2 linked regions of the Coturnix japonica genome follow. The protein of the gene in region 2 purifies or fractionates together with the protein of the main gene of each other region. This does not show direct contact. Links are inferred from orthologs where the notes say so. Each region holds a gene or a part of one and is shown on either strand. Other genes may lie near its edges.

What was found.
Region 1: the proteins of CHAMP1 (region 2) and CBX3 purify together in Homo sapiens (affinity purification with mass spectrometry; 6 studies listed by BioGRID and IntAct, with this or other methods). This does not show direct contact. The link is inferred for Coturnix japonica from reciprocal best matches to the Homo sapiens genes CHAMP1 and CBX3.

The regions. Positions count from the first base shown.
Region 1 is NC_029517.1:29,453,690-29,457,532, reverse strand, and holds the start of CBX3 (chromobox protein homolog 3), read right to left. Parts: upstream 2,845-3,843; 5' UTR 2,732-2,844; intron 1,468-2,731; 5' UTR 1,441-1,467; coding exon 1,417-1,440; intron 1-1,416. Other genes in the region: HNRNPA2B1 (heterogeneous nuclear ribonucleoproteins A2/B1), read left to right, coding at 3,053-3,082.
Region 2 is NC_029516.1:123,375,603-123,379,512, forward strand, and holds the start of CHAMP1 (chromosome alignment-maintaining phosphoprotein 1), read right to left. Parts: upstream 2,790-3,910; 5' UTR 2,612-2,789; intron 2,180-2,611; 5' UTR 2,079-2,179; exon of another isoform or gene 2,064-2,078; intron 1-2,063. UniProt on the Homo sapiens protein: Required for proper alignment of chromosomes at metaphase and their accurate segregation during mitosis. Involved in the maintenance of spindle microtubules attachment to the kinetochore during sister chromatid biorientation.

The sequences.
Region 1 (3,843 bases), on a different chromosome or scaffold from region 2:
GGATGCTCATCTGAGGCTTGCTCCCCATTCAGAAGTCACATCCGACAGACAGAGATGGCTTTCAATGGGTAATGACTCCTTCTTTAAGGGGCAATACTAGAACAGAGACATGACGTTGTGATGGAGTGTTACACGATACGTGAGGTAACAAAAGCAGAATTACAGTTCCAGAGCTACACTACCCCCAATAGATCTAAGTTTTGCATTCAAATATGCAATGAAGCAGAATTAGTTACGGTTCCCATGGGAACCATAACTGATTTTTCCTGACCTGCAGCAAAATTCTGAACATAATAGCAAAAATACTGCAGTTGCAGACTCCTTCCCTTCCCTGAGGCCCTCCCTGGGCTGGTAACTGCTCCTCTTCCTCATAATAGGGAAAAGTGGACAATCAATTGCTAACAAAGTTCAGACATTCATCTCGATGTTATCTTTAGAACGGTTTGCCATCATATAATATCAAATAAGCACTGTGCTTCGAAGCCAGGAGTTAAGAAGAGTTTTTAACGTGCCTCAATGTGGGTCAATTAGCAACCATTGGAGTAATTTAAGAACGGGCCTTTTGAGTGCATGATAAGTCCGTTGTTCTGCTATCCAAATGTCCAATTGTATCCACGCATCCTGCTTCAACCTCAGATGCATCTCATGCTATATTCCTTCAGTTCTTCCACACACACACATATATGTGTATATATATATATATATATCGATATATATGTATTTATATATAAAGTAAGTAGTTGAATGGCAATTAAAATCATTTTTCCAGCAACCAACTGCCTTTAGAAGTTCATATTTTAACGTCAAGCAAAGCTTTACAGGGACTTGAGAACCATGAATGCGTCATTAAAATCGTTCAGGAGGGGTTGACATCTGATCATTTCTGTTCCTATGAAATTCAAATAAACTGTTATTTGGTAAAAAAAATGATAATAATAATAATAATAATTTCAAAGGGCATCTTAACTACACCACATCATTTCCCAGTAATGTTATTTTTCTTCTGTATGACCGCCTTTACTCAGTTTGTTCTTCTATTTCTCTGAATAGACTAGAAGAAATCAAACGAATACATGATTTTACTTATTTTTACATAAACGATGAATTACATGGTATCCTGAAAGGAGGCTAAAAAAAATCCTTAGTGCTTTCTACAACAGGACAGACGAAATAGTGCACAGTCCTTGATTTTTTTTGGTATTCCCCAACAAGTCTCTGTAGAAATGGCAGATTTGTTAAAGCCAAAGAGTATGTCCTTTCTAGTAGCCTTACTTTCTGGACCTGAAATTTTGGTCAGAAAAATGCTGGGGAGGGGAGATGTGGATGTATCTTTTTAAATGGAGATGCCAAGTTATTAAGTTTGAAGAAAAATATGTTGATTAAATCCTTACATACTTTAGGTGTGCGTGAACTTACCAATGTAGTTTTATTGGAGGCCATTTTTATTGCAGACTTGCAGAGCTTTTACTAGAAAAATGCATGACAATTAAAAGGAAGTTGACGTTACTCAAAGAAAGGCATCCCAATACAACATGGTCCTTGTTCCAACCCCCATGTATTCACGGCATAGAACATTTACAGGATGGATTAAATCCAGGACAAGAAGCAGCTTACTGCTTTGTCCGGCATAACCCAGTAACACACCTTTACCTAGTCGGGATATATAGTAACGAAGTGGTAGATGGGGGGGAAAAAAGGTTTTTCCAAGGCCTTCTAAGGCACGGAGACGTTTGTAGGGAAAAGGGGGAGGACCATCAGGGATGCTTATTTCCTTCAACCCAACAGAACAGGAGCTCAGATTCCAGCAGTTAACTCAAATATAGCTTTAGACGTGTTAACTGTGGATCCGGCGGGGAGCAGCTCCACGTCTGGAGTGTAACAGAGCACCCACCGCTTTCCAAACTGCGAATATTTCTTTTAATACACAACGCTGCCCTCCGATTCTCAAGTTTGAACGAATTAAAGGCCCTGCACCGACGTGAGCTCGGCTAAGCTGCACACGCTACGTTTAACCTAAGCAAGCGAGTCCAACACCATCCATCCCCTTCACCACCACACCTCTCACACCGACCACCTCTTTAAGCACGTTATCATCCCTGCCCCGTTCCAACTACAAAACTTCGGATCGCACACAGGCCCGAGCACGGCACAGCACACGGCCCTGCAGGGCCCGAGGGCTCAGCCCCCCGCTAGGGGGGGGGGTGGGGGGAGCGCGGCGGAAAGGGCCGAGCGGGAGAGCTCCTCGCGTCCCCATCGGAAAGAGAAAGGGGAAAGAAACCACAAGAACGATCCCGATACCCCCCACCCCCAACCCATAAGGAACGGAGCCCCGCGGGCCGCCGGGAGGGAAGGAGGAAAGGAGGGAGGGAAGGAGGAGGAAGGGGGGGCATCGCCTCGCCATGCCCGCCACCCCCCGCCCCGCCACGTTTCCCCGCCGCGGAGGCCGCTCCGGGCGCTGGCGGGCGGCTTTGTCTGCCCGGCCCGGCCCCGCCGCCCACCCGCCCTCCCTCCTCCCTTCCTCCTCCCTTCCTTCCTTCCTTCCCGCGGGGCCCTCCCGCCATGCCCACTCCTCCCGCGGCCGCCGCGCTATAGGGGTTGGTGGTGGTGGGGGGGGGGGGGGAAAATCGGCCGCACCCCGCGCTCCATCCCCGCGGATGTCGGCGGGGAGTAAACGTGGGAGCGGGGAGTGCCGCCGAGACGAGGAAAGAAGGGGAAAAAGAAGGATACAGACTTCAGTGCCGCTCGGCCGCGCCGCTCCCCCGTCTCCTCCCGGCTCTCGCCCTGCGCGCTCTGAGCGGCGGCGGCAGCGGCGGCATCCGAGGGGCTGAGGGGGGAGGGGAGGGGGCGGGGAGCGGCGCGGGGCGGGACGGGCGGTGCGGGGCGGGTTGGGCCGAGCTGAGCGCGCCGGCGGCTGACGGGGCAGAGCGAACGACGCCGCCTACGCGCCAGCCGCAACCTCCTCCCGTCGTCGCCGCCAGCACAGGAGGGGGCCAAGACGTCTGTCCCACGGGGGGCGAGCGCAGGACCGCGCCAGGCGTCCAAAAGGAGGAAGATGCCTCGCGGAGACAGAGAAAGCGACTGGGTGAGGGAGGCCGGCGGGACGCGGGAGGCAGCCGCCATCATGGCCGCCACCGCCAGGGAGGGAAGGAGGGAGAGGGCCCGGGGAAAGGCCTTTATTGGCGGTTAATGGAGAGCAGAGCGGGGCTGCAGGGGGACAGAAAGCGGGAGCCCCGGTGCCGTGTCGCTGCTGCAGGGCGGCAGCACCCAGCAGCACTCGGCAGCACTCACCCTTTCTCGCCGCGTGTGAGAGGAAAGGGGAGGGCGGGAGGGAGGCGAGCGCTGCGTGGCTGCCGGCGGAACGAGGCCGGGCCCAGCGCTGTCCGCCGGGCACAGCTCCAGGTCAGCGCTGCCTCCCGCCTGGGCCGAGGGTGGAGGGGGAGCAGCTGCGTTGTGTTGTACCGCGCTCCCGCCCGCCGAGGGTGGTGGGGTGCGGGGCCGCTGCGGCTAATTATAACCCCGCACTACGGGCTGCAGCGATCGGCAATTTCCGGAGAGAGGGAAAAAAAAAGAAGGAGCGCTGTGCCAGCGACGCTCGGGCCGCTTCGGGTCTGCTCGGGCCTTTTCGGATCTGTTCGGGCACCTATGAGAGAGCCCTTCCGCTGTCGGAAATTGCCGAGTGGGTTGGGGGAGTCGGTGAGCTCTGCGTCTTTTTTTTCCGGAAATTGCCGAACTTGAGCCGATCGCCTGTTTCGTCGGTGTCGGCTGATTCCGGAAATCGCCGAAGCGAGCCGAACGGGCTGGCGTTCCTCTTTCGGCTGTTTCCGGCGGCTGGCGAAGCGGATA
Region 2 (3,910 bases):
CCAATTAATTCAGTAAGAATACATTACAAGTGAAGGAGAAGCTTGAAGCCCTGCACTTACACTTGCCCTGTCCACACAACCTGCTTCTACTCAAGACAAAGCACTGACAAGAAAAGAAGCAAAGAAGCCTCCACTAAGATTCTGGAGTTTGTAATACTAAACTTTAACCAAGGGCAGACAAAGCTTCTTCAGATTTTTCCAAGACGTTAAGATTTCAATCTGAACAGCAAAGTGCTCCCGTCCACAAGCATCAAGCACAGTAACAGTGCTGGTGCCAGCTCAGCTCTTAGCTCGACCACAGCTTTTTGCTGGCCTATAAGGGACACAGATCAACACCCAGGACTCAAGTGAAAATCTGATGAAGGGACTCAGCTTGTGTTGAGCTGAGCAACAGGAACAGCCCAAACCCAGCAGGACTTACGGCCACTCCAGACCTAGTTCCAGGATTCAGCATCTCATTGCTTGTCACAATCCCAGTGCAGGATTAGCCATTCATCCCAACACCTCTCACAAACCTCCCAGTGGCATAAAAGAAATCTGCAGGAGACATTGTGCGCCACCAAAAATAGGCCCACAGTGTTAGGCACAACACAGTGACTCTGGCAACTAACAAAATGTCTCCATTTCTCAATCTCATTTCAATCCCATAGTTACAGGTTCTTTTTAACATGATGTGCAGAATTTCAGAATATGGCAACATGCAGACTGATGTATCATCCTTCAAAACCAGTCCATCCTGGTTCTCACTGACAAAAGGAGCTATACTTCTCTCCCTCTTGATAAAGAATTGATCATAATGAGAGACAAGCAGAGAATGAGGATGTGCAAAGCACATCAGGGGCGCCAGTGCAGCTTTGAAAAGGAAGTTATACATTTTATACGATACCCTGTATTTGCATTGTTTTCTCCAGATCCAGCGGGACCTAAAAATAGTGCTGCCATCCACACCATCCTGAAAAATGAGCAACAAACTAGTGTGAAGCAATGGTTTCCAGCATCCTCCCACACAAGCGTGCAACACGATTCTATCAGTTCATCAAGCAAATGATGAAGTAAGCCCATACTCCTAGAAATGTCTTCCTCAGATAATCCTCTCACTTGTACAGGGTGCCACTCATCACAGCTCTGCTCTGACAAGCCCTGTCCACTGCACAAGAAAGATGGCTGTTCACTTCCATTGGTGGAAGCTCAGGCAAAGACTTCAGCCACATTCTCTGTCAATGGAGATGGTTGACTGTAAAGTTAGTACCCAGCACCAGACACCAGGATACAGCTGCACCATGGCTTCTACCAGCAGGACCAGATCAGACTGCAGCTGTATTTAGGCAAAAGGGAAAGTGACACACTCCTGCAGTGCCAAGAAGTAGACAGGAGCACTCTTGTGGCAACACCCTGCTTCTCCTAAACCTGTGCAATGGCTGACAAGAAACAGAAGCTCAGATCCCACAGGCAGCGATGAAGCGGAGCAGGTGCTTCCCAATGTACACAGAGGAGATGTGAGGGTTGGCTCCAGCACACAGGGAACAAGAGGCAGCACCATGCTCTTGCTACCCCACAGAGCCCACAGAAACCTGACTACTCACAGCCACGCTGCCAACACCAGCAATCACATTTGTGCAGTGTTCCATCAGCAGTGATTGCTGGGTCCAGCTTTAAAACTGCACTAGGAGAGGAGGCTCCGACACCCTGACTTTGCCAGCCACCAACACTGAGAGATGTGCTGGGAGAGCATGCACTTGGTCCAGCAAGGGGGCTCTTGCACGATGAAGTCCCAGGTTCAGCTCAGAGGAAAACTGAACAGTGTCATCAGTGCTTGATGCTGAAGGCTTTGAGAACATGAAGGATGCAGCACTTCACCTACCTCATGGGCCTTCTGTCTTTGCTAGGACAAGTCTGCAGAGCAACGTGAGTTCCTAGTACAAGAACGAGGGGCAACCTAAAGTACTAAGTATCTGACATACCTACATCAAGATTAAGGATAAGAAATTACCGTTTCATATCATTCAGACAGGGCAGTGTAACTCCGTATTAGCAATAATGCGCTGTTAGCTTCCAAAACTGACCTCAAAACAACGTACTTCTGCAGAGCTGAGCTGGTGAAGCGGCACGGGACCAAGGAGCACACACAGGCACGCTGTACCATACCCTTCCCGCGGTGACCTCGAGCTACGAACTCCACCTGCATTACACCGAGACAAAATTCGACGTGAGGACGGCTGAGGGAAGGGAAGAACGAAGTCGGAATCTCCACCTCCCTGCCACAAATCGCACAGCTCGGCCCCAGCTCCGGCTCCCGGCAGTGCCGACTTACAGCCCCGGTGCGGCGGACCCTCCCTCCCCGCGGGGCCCGGCTCGGCACGAGGCCGGCTCCGATCGCCCCGAACGGCTGCGGGGTTCCAGTGGGGGCGAGGCCGGGAGGCGTCGCCTGCGGGGGCCCGGCACATCGCCGCCTCCCGGCCTCGCCCGCACTCGAACCCCGCAGCCCCCCGCCCTGCGGCCCCGAGGCGGCCCCGACCGAGGGGAAGGCCCCGGCCCGCCGCCCGGGGCGGAGAGGAGCCCGCTCGGCGCCTGAGGGCGGCGGGAAGGGCCTCCCCGCTCTCACCGCACTCACCGCCGAGGCACCTCCAGCGGCCGGGCGCAACACAGGACACACGGCGGCGGGCCGGGCCGGGCCGGCTTCGCTAGCGGGCTCGGGCCGTGCGAGGGGCGGGGAGGAGGAGGAGAAGGAGGGGGCGGGGGGACGGGGGGGCGCCGTGAGGAGGCGCGCAGCCGAATGGCGGCCGCCTCACCGCCCCCCCGGGCCCGCCCGCCGCCCAACAGGAAGCGCCGGCGCCGCGCTCAGTCCCGCCCCTCGCGGCCTCCCGCCTTCTCGGTCAGGTGGTGCTGCCGTAAGGCGGAGCGGCGGCGGGAGGCGGGAGCATCCTGTCAGCTATGGGACGTCGTGCGGGGTTGATGTGGGCTACGCCTTCCAAGAGCTAAATTACAATTAAATTAAATTACAGATCTAACCTGCATCAAGCAATGAACCTCTTGTTTGCGGTGACACCTGCACAGAATGGGCTTAATTCACACGAACCACGCCCCCTTTGTCAGTTCAGTGCCCTGCTTCAAACCAGCAGGAGGATGGTCTCATGGCTGTGCTGGGTTACCTGCTCTGCCCTAATGTGCTCTGCTGGCCTCTATAGTGCTCACATGAGCCCTTCTGTGTCTAACCTGCGTTGGTGGTGGGGTTGCTAAAGCAGCGCTAAGTGAAGCTGTCTTTCTTGGGCCAGTAAAAGCTTTGGGTCAGGAAACACTCCTTTAAGCACTGCAACAGGCTCCTCAGGGAGGTGGTTGAGTCACCATCCCTGGATGTGCTTAAAATCCCTTTGGATGTGGTGCTCGGAGACACAGTGGAGCAGAGAGCTGTTAGTTAGGGTACTATGGGTAGGCTGTGGTTGGACTCCATAATCTTTAAGGTCTTTTCCAACCTGAGCAGCTCTATGATTCCATGATTGTAAATATTTCATAGAATCACAAGGTTGGAAATGACCTACACAACCATCTAGTCCAGCTGTCCTGGTCTCATAGTTTCGTACCGATCTCTTAAAAACATCTTTAAAATGTTTGGTGTTGCTGTCTATAGGTTAGGAGGAATGAGCATCGTGGTGTCCTCACTGCAGGAGACACATGAGCTCTGCTGTCGGTCTCCTCACCCAGCAAAGGTCTCCAAAAACTGCTTCTGCTTTCACTTTCAGATAGAATCCGCATACAAACCTCAGCAGTGCTGAAACATTAGCCCAAGCCTGTATTGTTTTGTGAAGGGCTGGTGGTTGTCTCCATGATCTGTCGTAACATCAGGTGGCATTTAGCAGTGATCCGTCACAGCTCAGAGCCCACACAGAGGCAGTGTGTTTGGCAGCACTTGTGG